Linked DNA regions of Coturnix japonica. The protein of the gene in region 1 binds, or shares a complex with, the protein of each later gene. Links are inferred from orthologs where the notes say so. Each region holds a gene or a part of one and is shown in the gene's direction. Other genes may lie near its edges. The genes, in order: WDR20, USP46 and WDR48.

The links.
Region 2: the proteins of WDR20 (region 1) and USP46 are in contact, whole or in part, in a crystal structure (PDB 6JLQ), measured with the Homo sapiens proteins. The link is inferred for Coturnix japonica from reciprocal best matches to the Homo sapiens genes WDR20 and USP46. Residues at the interface, in NP_653175.2 of Homo sapiens: Asn41, Ser42, Gly44, Arg151, Lys259, Tyr261, Phe262, Gly263, Glu282, Asp283, Asp284, Leu285, His301, Lys304, Ser305, Trp306, Gln374, Asp375, Thr376, Leu509, Arg516, Met517, His533, Glu534, Arg535; in NP_073743.2 of Homo sapiens: Asn205, Thr206, Ser207, Thr209, His210, Arg213, Arg273, Val275, Phe276, Pro277, Glu279, Leu280, Arg281, Phe283, Asp293, Met295, Gln338, Glu342, Tyr344, Thr347, Ser348.
Region 3: the proteins of WDR20 (region 1) and WDR48 are in contact, whole or in part, in a crystal structure (PDB 5K1C), measured with the Homo sapiens proteins. The link is inferred for Coturnix japonica from reciprocal best matches to the Homo sapiens genes WDR20 and WDR48. Residues at the interface, in NP_653175.2 of Homo sapiens: Arg20, Ser364, Thr384, Glu385, Asp386, Glu524, Pro525, Leu526; in NP_065890.1 of Homo sapiens: Val191, Lys207, Gly208, Gly240, Gln241, Gln242, Arg243, Cys244, Ile245.

The regions. Positions count from the first base shown.
Region 1 is NC_029520.1:45,047,824-45,051,999, forward strand, and holds the start of WDR20 (WD repeat-containing protein 20), read left to right. Parts: upstream 1-1,261; 5' UTR 1,262-1,339; coding exon 1,340-1,603; intron 1,604-4,176. UniProt on the Homo sapiens protein: Regulator of deubiquitinating complexes. Activates deubiquitinating activity of complexes containing USP12. Anchors at the base of the ubiquitin-contacting loop of USP12 and remotely modulates the catalytic center of the enzyme.
Region 2 is NC_029519.1:59,559,457-59,563,104, forward strand, and holds part of USP46 (ubiquitin carboxyl-terminal hydrolase 46), read left to right. Parts: intron 1-143; coding exon 144-357; intron 358-2,000; coding exon 2,001-2,230; intron 2,231-3,648. UniProt on the Homo sapiens protein: Deubiquitinating enzyme that plays a role in behavior, possibly by regulating GABA action. May act by mediating the deubiquitination of GAD1/GAD67.
Region 3 is NC_029517.1:4,663,631-4,667,278, reverse strand, and holds part of WDR48 (WD repeat-containing protein 48), read left to right. Parts: intron 1-54; coding exon 55-129; intron 130-517; coding exon 518-620; intron 621-1,089; coding exon 1,090-1,187; intron 1,188-2,020; coding exon 2,021-2,128; intron 2,129-2,460; coding exon 2,461-2,557; intron 2,558-3,353; coding exon 3,354-3,449; intron 3,450-3,648. UniProt on the Homo sapiens protein: Regulator of deubiquitinating complexes, which acts as a strong activator of USP1, USP12 and USP46. Enhances the USP1-mediated deubiquitination of FANCD2; USP1 being almost inactive by itself.

The DNA.
Region 1 (4,176 bases):
ATTGAACCAATGGAAAGAAGGCAAGGTCTCACTTCCCTCCTGCTCTGCATTTCCTGTCCCCTCTGCCTTACACATTTCTCATTTAAGTCATTTCACCTTTGAATCACAGAATCAAATTAGTTGGAAGAGACTTGCAAAGGTCATCTAGTCCAACTCCACTGCAACAAACAGGGACATCTACAGCTCAATAAGGTGCTCAAAACCTTTTCCAGCCTGACCTTGAGTGTCTCCAAGAACAGGGCATCCACCACAACTTGGGCCAACCTGTTCATAAAAACCTGTCCTTATATTTGAAGGGAGTACCTGCTTGTCTTTCAGAAATGGCTCATTACAAGGTCAGAAAAACACAGCTGGTAAAGGATGTAGCAGTAGGTACTGACAGTAGAAAAGAGGGAGGAGGACAACAGCTATTGGAGCAGCTACATCAGAGCAGATCAGCTAGATGTGAAATAACCTTGAAAGCACATTGTTACAAGGCAGTCTGACTGTGCTGCTCTTCCCACAGCTGCACACTTCTAACTTCTCCCTTATTTTGGCTCTAGCAGCTGCGATGATGGGATCAGCTCGGTTGCCAACCAACAACTTGCTTCTCATTTCTGCATGCAGGGCGCTTCTCAGGCTGATCTGACTCACCCTTTGGTTGCATGATTACTGGAACTGATTCAAGGGAGGCAATGGAAATAGGTACCCAAAGACAGAGAGGTCAGATGCATTTCTACACTAGAGATCAGTCTCTGATTAGTTTAAGCCAACCACAAGGCTGATGCAGTTACCAGAAGGCACAGCCTTGCCTCCCTGGGGAAAATAACCCTTTCAGCCCGTTCCACTTCATCCCTCACACAGAGGAGGACATTGACCTGCTTCACAACAACGTGGTTTACGTGACAACCCGTTTTTCCAGTTAACAAACGCTCAGCGGGGCCAACTCCCCAGCCTGGCACCTTAGGCACAGCCTGCCTTTATAGAACCATAGAATCGGGACAGCGGTGGGTCGACTGGAAACATCCACCTACGGCTGCGCGTTGATATTTATTCCCTTTTCACCGCTCCAACACAGGCAGCTCCTACACAAACCCCCTGTACTCCCCCTTCTCGCCGCCGCCATCTTGAGCGCCCCTTCACGGAGCGCCCCCTCCCCCTTCCCGCCAGCCCCGCCCCTCCCCGCCCAGTCCCGCCCAGGCACAGGCCGCCCGGCGCATGCGCGGAGGCGCAGTAAACAGCGGCGGCCGCTCCTCCCCCTTACGCCGTTTGCGTGGCCGGCTCCGCGCAGCGCCGAGCGAGCGCCGGCGGCGGCGGCGTTTGCGCAGTGGAGCTACATCCGGGCACTGGGGCAGGATGAATGCTCCTTTCCAAGATGGCGGCGGAGGGAGGAGGGAAGGAGATGAACGAGATTAAGACCCAGTTCACCACCCGGGAGGGGCTGTACAAGCTGCTGAGCCACTCGGAGTACAGCCGGCCGAACCGGGTGCCCTTCAACTCGCAGGGCTCCAACCCGGTCCGCGTTTCCTTCGTCAACGTCAACGACCAGAGCGGCAACGGGGACCGGCTCTGCTTCAATGTGGGCCGGGAGCTCTACTTCTACATCTACAAGGGGGTCCGCAAGGTACCGGGGCTCGCCCGCCGCGCTGTGGGGCTCAGGGGCCTCCGCGCCGCCCACCCGCCCGCTGTGGGGCCGCCCGCCGAGGGGCCGCGGGGCCGCGTCGTGGGCGGGGGGCGGCGGGACCGCGGGGTGACGGCGGCACGGCCCGGCACGGCGCTGCACGCTCAGCCGCTGGGGCAGGGGGAGCGTAGGGCCGGGCAGGAGGCTGGAGCCCGCTGCTTACCGGGGGGTATGGCACGTTCCGTGTCGCACCCGTAGGTGCGTGGGGAGGTGGGGAGGGGTGGGATCGCTTGGGCCTTGCTCGCTGTGCAGGAATGGGGGCAGGGTTTCCGACAGCGAAGGGGACTGCGAGCCTCCTTCACTTGCTGCTTCAGGTCGGAGGTTGCTGGGAGCTAATGCCCGCCGTGATTACGGCGGTGTCAAATCCCCGCGGTTAGGGCAGAGAAAGGCTGCCGAGCTTCGGGCGGAGGGCTGCAGGATTTGCTGTCATATTAGGCCTGTCTCATACCTTTGAAGTGCAGGCTGATTTCAGGGTTGTTCTTAAATGGGAGCAGTCTAGAGAGCTGAGTTTTAAATGTCAGGTAATTAACGCAGAGAAAGTTGTTTTTACGGAAGACGCTCATTGGTGCGACTTGAGATAGACTCTTTAATGGTTAACGTTTGATGAGGGACTTATAGTTTATGCGTTTGATGTTTCAGGTCATCGTGTTTATGAATAAATCCTTTCTACTAGTTGTTTCTTAGGGTCGTTGTCTTTATGGCATTTAGAAGAGCATTTGGAACTTGTCATACAGTATGAACGTGTGTCACTCAATATATGAAAACACAGATGTAATGATTGTTAGGCTTCTGATTTATGTTTCAAGAAATGGGTGTTTGTTATCTCGTATACTTGAAACTTAGCTCCCTTAAGGTGAGTCCTTTCAAGCCTCCCTGCCTTTAGTCCAACATACAACATGGACTAAGTAGGTGGAGGGCTGGTGATGCACCCTGGACTGTGCAGGAAGCCTGTAGGTGAGGCTACATAACAGAGTCTGCAGGCTGCTAAGCAAACACCCAAATCACTGCTCCTCTGCAAAATAGAAGCATCTACAGGAGAATTAAATCTACCTCATTATCTGCTTACTGTGACTTGACAGATCTGATATGTTCTGTATAATGGTCTGGGACTTGGTTTTGCACTGTAGTGAGTTCTCTTAACCTAGTTGTCTTAAGTAACACTTAGTCAATATTTCTTGAAGCGTGTCATGAGATATCAAACGTTTTCTAAGCATTTGCTGTCTTTACTGTTTACAAGATATTGTGACAATATCTCTGAAAATCAAGTATTTAAACTATTGTCATGTTTGTGTTCTTATATCCTGAGCTTGTGTTTTTCCATACAAAGTAACCGCGGAGTTCTCTTGCGTGTTACAGAACAGGCCTTTACGTAGTGTGGCAATGGTAGGTGTGATTCTTGCATATTGTCTTAATCATCTCTTGCCACGCTTAAAATAAAGAGAATTGAAATCTGAAGCTTGGGACTGCACTGGAAATAGGGGACTGAGTAACTTTTCAAATTGTAGAATTGATTTTGAGATTAATGTTTCAATATATTTTTTTTTCTGGCTGCTAAAAGCTGCTTTTGTGCTACACAGTAATGGAGAAAATGTTAGTTTGTCAGATTGTGAACGTAAGAGCTTTGTGATATACCTGTTATAGCATTGCATGTTATTTTCCTCATAGTAATATAAAATTATATATATATATATATATATAATATATAAAATGTATGCATTGTTCAGAATTCATTTCACTCAGCTCTTAAAATGCCGACAAATGAAAATATACTTAAATCTTTTTCTGTAATATGCTAAATTCTGTAAAATTAATCTTGAGAAATAGCTGGAATAAGCTAAGGAAAGTGTTTAAAATCAGACTAGAAAAGGTGGGCTGTCTTTAACTTGTAATGGTTGTTTCTTTGGAATTTATTTTGAAACTATTCATTTGAAAGATGCTTTTGTCTATGTGCAGAGTTGAGAGAAGAAGGGGCTGACACTTTCAACTGATGATTGGAGTTTTCTAATGTAAAAGGTTACCTATTTTCTGGCTATAGTTGCAGGAAGGAGCAACTGCTACCTACATTGATAGTATGTAAGTCCATCTTAAACTGGACGAACTATGCATGTCTTCCTTTGCTTGGCAGTGGAGCCAGGGGAGGGACTTGCTCCTCTGAAGACCAAAACATTTGTGACCCTCTGCATAATACAAATGTTAACAACTTCTCTTTTAAGTTATTTCACCGTTACTGAGGTGTCTCTTTAAAATGTTCCGTAATAACTTTCAGAGTATAATTTTCATGTTGGTGAAGCTGTTAAGATAGTAGAGTACAAGTTGAAGTTAGTGCTGTGTCAGGTAGCTAAGACTGTGTCTTTTATTTTACTTTTCCAGAGCAAGAACAGGAGCAAACTTTAAGTGTTATATTTTTAATAAAATGAGTGAACGAATCACCAGGACTTTGAAGGAGGAGTGTCTGTCTGATGCTGAGATAATTCTTGTATCACTCACCTATTGCAGATCAGTACATGGCAAGCAGG
Region 2 (3,648 bases), on another chromosome or scaffold:
TTTTCCTATGCATTGTTGGGATGGGTGTGGAAATATATTCCTACAGCAGCCACCTGGCAAAATGGCTGTGTCACAGAAGACAGATGTTGAGTAGTTTCTTGTGATGTACAGAGATTAAGATTGTTTTTGCTTTTACATGGCAGTTTGGAAACACCTGCTACTGTAACTCCGTGCTGCAGGCATTGTATTTCTGCCGGCCATTTCGGGAAAATGTGTTATCATACAAGGCCCAACAGAAAAAGAAGGAAAACCTCTTGACTTGCCTGGCAGATCTTTTCCACAGTATTGCTACTCAGAAGAAGAAAGTCGGAGTTATTCCACCAAAGAAGTTCATATCAAGGTTACGAAAAGAGAACGGTAAGTGTGGAACTGGAATTCTCTTAGATATCTGTAAGCTGATCAGGGAAATCTAAACATTGGGTAAGGTGGTCATATTAGTCAGGTGGTCAGGTTAGGTCTGGAAAGGACTTTTAGCAGTTTTTTGGTTTTAGATACTAATATTATAGTAGCTGTTACTCAGTGTTATGCTTGAAATAGCTACGCCAGATTTCCTGAGTTCTCAGAGGTCATTTAGTGCACGGTATGATAGATCACACTAAGCAGTCAGCTAAGGCTGGGAAGAGGGTGGCATTCTGCCCCAGTTTTTTTCTAACTTTTAATGTGGCATGGCAGAGAGAAACGCTGCGGGCAGCTGGCAGTACTAAAGCATTGTGGCCTGCTAGGGCTACAGGCATTTACAAGCCCAAAACACCCTGGAGGGCAGGAAAATGTGTTTGGGGGGTTTTTCAGTGGACTGCATGTCAGCCACTGCTGTTGTTCCTAGGAGCATTGGGTGCAGTCTGACTTTGCAAAGCATCAGCCCCTTTTTGAGCACCACACTGGCAACAGTATATGCCTGATCTTTTAGTGTTTCTTCCTAAGGGATGGTAGGAATGTCTTGAAGTAAGGAAGCCTGCCACACAGTTCCTTTTCAGCCTGGATTCATATCAGTGTGGGTGTTGTGCTTGGAAACAAGGGAGCTTTGAATGAAGAGAAGAAAGAATTGTGAGTTAACACCTGGGAAAAATTGCCTCCTGGTGACAGCATGTAAATGGGCAGACTGTCCATTGCAAAGCAGGCATTGTAAACAGTGACAAAGTCAGCTCCAAATCATCTTAGTGATAAATGCCCCTACACTGCTGGGATCACCTTTTGGGACCGGGTCTTATGTTTTCAGCTTTTTCAAATTAGGGCCAGATTTGGGATATATTAATGTGCTTCTGTGTTCAGGCTGGCTGCTGCAAAGCTGAGAACTGTACAGTATTTATGAGGAAATCCATGTGGGCTTTTTCCAGGAGTAGAGGAATAAAAACACACATTTCTTGGGAATGCAAATTGTTTTTCTTCAGCATGGTGGGCAAGTTAAGCCTCCACTAGGGAAGAAGCCTGTTTTTCATCACCACTGGGGTAGCCTATGCTCCAGAAAGCATTTTGTATGAAAGAGAAGTCTGTCCTCATCAGACTTGTGTGTGAAAAATAAGCTTTGTCAGATGACATTATTATTAATACTATATGTTTGCATCCAGCATCTTCATTTTCCCCAGCCAAGTGTTGCACTGTCCAAACTCAGTGATGTAGAATGTATGGGTGGGAATCAGTAATGCCTAATGTTAAGCAGTGGGTGTAAAGAATGAATGTAAGTTGCCTTTGTAGTCACAGATTTTCTTGTACAGTGGGCACAGATAGTTGGCTGCACTGAGGACCACCCTCTTGCTTTCTTCACTGACTGTAATGGGAGCCTACACAGCTTACTCCAAATACAACCCTGGTCTTTTAGACACACTAAAATTATGTGAGATGAAGCCTTCCCTCAAAGCAGCTTCTCTGAATCCAGTGTACTTTTCTTTGGCACAATTCTAAGTATTTTGCTGAGCAAGGATTCGGAAAACAGTGGTTTTAGTTTGATTTCTTGAAATAAAAGGTATACTGAGCTGTAGAAATCTTGACTCTCTTCTTCACAGATCTCTTTGACAACTACATGCAGCAGGATGCCCACGAGTTTTTAAATTACTTGCTGAATACAATCGCCGACATTTTGCAGGAGGAGAAGAAACAGGAGAAGCAAAACGGGAAGCTGAAAAATGGCAACATGAACGAAGCTGAAGAGAACAATAAGCAAGAACTCACCTGGGTGCATGAGATTTTTCAGGGAACACTGACTAACGAAACTAGATGTTTGAACTGTGAAACCGTAAGCATTGGGATAGATTGTTTTTTGGTTGTTGCCCTTTAATAGATAGATACATTTTATATGTATAATATATGAATCTTTTCAGACATCTGAGAATTGTGGATATTCCTGTAGACTTTACTTCTTGAAGTGAGTATATTCTTTTCTAAAAATTTATTTTTCTAGGTGTTTCTTGGCTAGCCTTTGCCAAGTCTGGCTGTCATAACATGTAACTCTACACTTAGAACCCCTGCTAATTAATCGGTATCCTTCTCTACCACTGTAACTTCAGGAGAAGGTATTTGCATTGTTATTCCAAGAACCAGTGGAAAATTAAGATGGATTTGCATTCATTCATTTTGAAGAATGTGGCTGACAAAGGATTTATTATTAACAAACCGTATGTGTTCTTTTGTCTTCTGAAACATTCTTAAAAGAATGGTGGAAGTCTCTTATATTTGAAGTCTCAGAAGATTGCAACTTAGTTTGCAAATCTTACCTAACTTTTGCTTTGTGAAAGGGAGGTGTCAAGGATGAACTAGTTTTCTCAGCACCTTCTATAGCTGATAGAGTTTGCAAAGGATCTTCTTCAGGAATCTCTCTCCATCTGTCTCCAGGCTGTTCTGTGAGATAAAAGTCTGAGCAGTATCAGGTATTCCATCTACACAGTACAGCTTGTTCTCATTCCAGTCCTTGCACTGAGCTGTTGCAATTGTTTGTGCAGCAGTGTTGTAAATCGGGCCAACAAACTGATCTCTCCTAAGAACAATGTTTCCAACTCAGACTAGTATTGCTACTGTGGAACTTTTCTAAAGAAAACACAGCTTTAGATTATCTGCATGAAGGTGGAAGGAGGTGCCCAGAGAAATCATCTTCCAACAGCAGGCTGAAGTTTAATGTCTATCTCTAGGCAGCCAAATTTAGGTGAGATAAAAGTCTAGAAGAACATATCCTGATATTCTTTAATCATAAATGATAACACTGTACTCCAAGAAAATGACTTCTTGGGAGCTTGTGTTCAGGGACAGGGAAGAGTGATAAAGTGACAATCAGTTTGGGAAATGGGGTGGACCAAATCTGGAACAAGGCTGTCACAGAGAAAATGTGAGAGGAAGAGACTGAAAATTAATTCTTTAGTATATTTCTATTATGATAGCTCACAGAGTAGTAGCAAGACTTAAAAAAAAGTGGAATGATAGGATTTTTTTGACAGACAAGCTTCTTCAAACATTTGTGGCCTGGTTCTCAATTAACATCCTATGTTTGCTCAGTCAAACTGTAATGAACAAAGTGCTGCTGCTGTAGGAAAGCATGTCTTAAGCTTCCTCTGAATGCAGAAATATGGTGTTCTGCCCAGTATATTTCTACAGTTGTTTATGTTTTTCTTTTATTATGGTACCTCGAAATCTTTGGGAAACAATAAAATGAATTAAAAGGTG
Region 3 (3,648 bases), on another chromosome or scaffold:
AACAGAGCGAAGTTAAATTGAGTGACTGAAAGTAGCTATAATTCCATTATTTAGATGGAACTTGATAGATCAGCTGATCCTCCTCCAGCAATTTGGGTTGCAACGACTAAATCCTCTGTGAATAAATGGGTAAGTGATACATATTTCTTTGAATTACTTTATTATTTTTCTGTCTATGCTGCTTTTATTTATAAAATAGCTAACAATGAATGGTTAATATTTGAATAGCAGCACGAACTGGCACTTGTTAGCCAAGATAACCCTCACACAGAGGGTGGTGATGCACTGTGGAACAGGTTGCCTGAGGAGGCTGTGGATGCTCCATCCCTGAAGGCATTCAAGGCCAGGCTGGATGTGGCTCTGGGCAGCCTGGTCTGGTGGTTGGTGACCCTGCACATAGCAGGGGGGTTGAGATGAGCATTGTGGTTCTTTTCAACCCAGGCCATTCTATGATTCTATAGAAGTGAAGTTTTTAAAATGATTACAAACGTGTCCTTATTTTGTTTGCTTCTTTTAGACTTTGAAGGGAATACATAATTTTAGAGCATCTGGGGACTATGATAATGATTGTACCAATCCTATACCACCCCTATGTACACAGCCTGACCAAGTCATAAAAGGTAAACAGCTGTTTTCCTGAGTGTTTGTGAAATGTTATCATTAGCAGAAATGGTAGATCCTTACGACTAGCTCACATTCTTAGTTATCTGACACTTTGATTACTGAAGGGAAGTCCTTGGCTGTGATTAAGGACTGTTCTATAACAACTTTCTGTGTTGCTCTGCAGCAAATGAAAACAACATTGCTATCACCACTGTTTCCATCAAAAATCCAAAATACAGCATTGTATGTGCATCTACAGAGAAAATTATCTCTATGTTGGGCAAAATCACAATAAATAAAATCGAAGACAGCACAAGTATCATTTATGTAGTATTAGTTATGGTTGAATAACGTTTAGATATTAGTGATTCTTGTGTAATATAGTAAAACCAAAGAACAGTCATTCCTGTCGTTAGTTGGTTTAATTTAGTGTAAAGCTAGACAAAAAGATTAGTGTAGTGACCTTAATTCTTGTTTGTTTGGCAGGAGGTGCTAGTATCATTCAATGCCACATTCTTAATGACAAGAGGCACATATTAACCAAAGACACAAATAATAATGTGGCATACTGGGATGTCTTAAAAGTAAGTACATAATTTTAGATTAAACATCTAATGTTGGATCAGTAATTATTTTGTGGGGTTTTTTTTGTTTGTTTGTTTTTGACATATTATTTTTGGTGTGGGAGTTTCTTCTGGTTGAAAAATAAGTCAGTTTTCTATCCTAAGACAATAAAGCAAAGATGACTTCTCTGAAAGAGGAAAGAACATTATAGAGCCTTTCTGCATCCTAAGAGCTTCTTCTCTCAACATTAGGCTGGATAATAACATCTTCATTTGCTTTAAATTCAGACCCTTAATAGAACACAATCAGTTGTCTTACTGAGTTGCTGACTGTAGTGAAAAAGAAGGGAATGAGAATGAAGAACATGGATTTGTACTGAAAGTGTTTCAGAAGACTTGTAGAAAAGTGAATGTTTTATTTTGGTTTACCACTGGTATATATTTGAGAATAATATTAGGGCCAAAGTCAGGTGCTAATGTTAATTTGGTACCTTCATTTAGTTATTTTCAGCTTTTGTTATTAGGGTTTTCAGCAATTTTTCTTAGATACATCTGCATACATGCTCACTATAGAGATGGGTAACTCACCAAGTCTGAGTGTTGTCTTGTTTAAGATTCACTTTTTCTTTCTTTTCCTTCTCTGTTGGCTTGATAATGTTACCTCAGGAAAAAAAAGTGTTCTTCAATTTATGGTGAAAAACTTGAAGCTTTAACTTGTGTATTCCTATACTAAATTAATTGTGGTGAAATGATAATAATTTTGAGTGTATATGAAAATCAAGTAAAAGGTTTTAAGAGTGGTTATGATTCAACGTGCAGAATTGAGAAATTTCTGTATTCCTTTTTCTGTACAGGCATGTAAAGTTGAAGACCTTGGGAAAGTAGATTTTGAAGAGGAAATCAAGAAGAGATTTAAAATGGTGTATGTGCCAAACTGGTTCTCAGTAGACTTGAAAACTGGGGTGAGATACAAACCCTAAATCTCTTCTTCTGGTGTCATACTTAATTATACTTTGTATACTATTTCTTCACAATGATTATAGTTTGTTCTAAGTTTTGAAGAACTTATCATTTATCTGATGAGCTTGACTTATTTTGAAGCACGTCAATACATTGTACCTCCATTCTTAATAATCTGTATGACTTTTACACTGTAGTGTCAGTTGAAATCCACAAGACTGTTAGGAATTCATTTTTTGCTTTGTATTCCTAGCTGTTCCTTCAGTAAATTTGTAGACTTGTTTAATACAATACAACTATTGCATTTTTCTTGCTCATGGTCTTTTTCCAACAGATGCTGACAATTACATTGGATGAAAGCGACTGCTTTGCAGCCTGGGTTTCAGCAAAAGATGCTGGATTCAGCAGTCCAGATGGTTCTGATCCAAAATGTACGTTTTTACTAGTATTGCTCTTTCACTGAAATATAAAATCAAAACAAATTCCGGTACTTACATTACAGAATGTTTGTTGGATAAGTCAGTTGTTGTCTGGGTTTTAGAGAGAGATTTCCTTGAGACTAAATTTTGACAAGTTTTCCAAAGAAAATATATACAATTTTATCCTGAAATATTCGAGTAGTTTTTTCTTTTTAACTTGCTGTAGTGGAAATGTTAAGTCATGGCCTGAAAAAGTGATTGAGCACCTGGTGAGAAGGCAGGGCCACCCAACAGCTGAGTGACTGGAAGGGTTGGAGCCAGGATCCACCCCTTCCCACACCTCATATAAGAGCTGGCAGTGGAGGTGAGGGCATCTCTTGCTGGAGATCCCCTGCCTACTTGAGATACCTTGCAAAGGTAAGAAGCTCTTCATTTATGCATCTGTAGCTTCTGTATTTGGGCTTGTTCTCATTTGCTGTAGCCAAAGACTTTGCCACCCTGCTATTATCATCCCATTATAGCATTACACTTGGTTTTAGACATCCAGGAAGGAAGTGGGAGAAAGTGATATTTCAAAATGTAGAGCTATTATCAGCTACTATCAGAATGTTGAATTAAGTGATTGAACCAGCAGCAATGATTCTGTGACTGAAAAATCAGCTTCTAAAAGGTTATAGCCTGCAGTTTTGAGTTTGTGATAAGCAGATGTCTGTGCCCATAACTAGTTTGCTTGGATCCGTAGATCAAATGTAGGATGTTTTAAGTCAGTGTTTTTGATGTAACTGAAGTTCTTGCTGTGTCTTGACAGTGAACCTTGGAGGGCTTCTATTGCAAGCGCTTCTGGAGTACTGGCCTAGAACACACATCAATCCAATGGATGAGGAAGAAAACGAAATAAATCACAGTTAGTGTTTGAATGTTTTCTTTCTTTGAGATATGCTCTTACATTTTTATTGTTCTGTTTCTTTAACAGTTACAGCTTGATTTGCTGTCTTACAGTTCTCCATGCATCATGGCTTTTAATGTAATTTACTGCCTTTGAAATTGTTTTGTGTCAAAAGGTGCTGAACAGCTTTTTTTCTTCCTAACATGCCAGCAAAAAA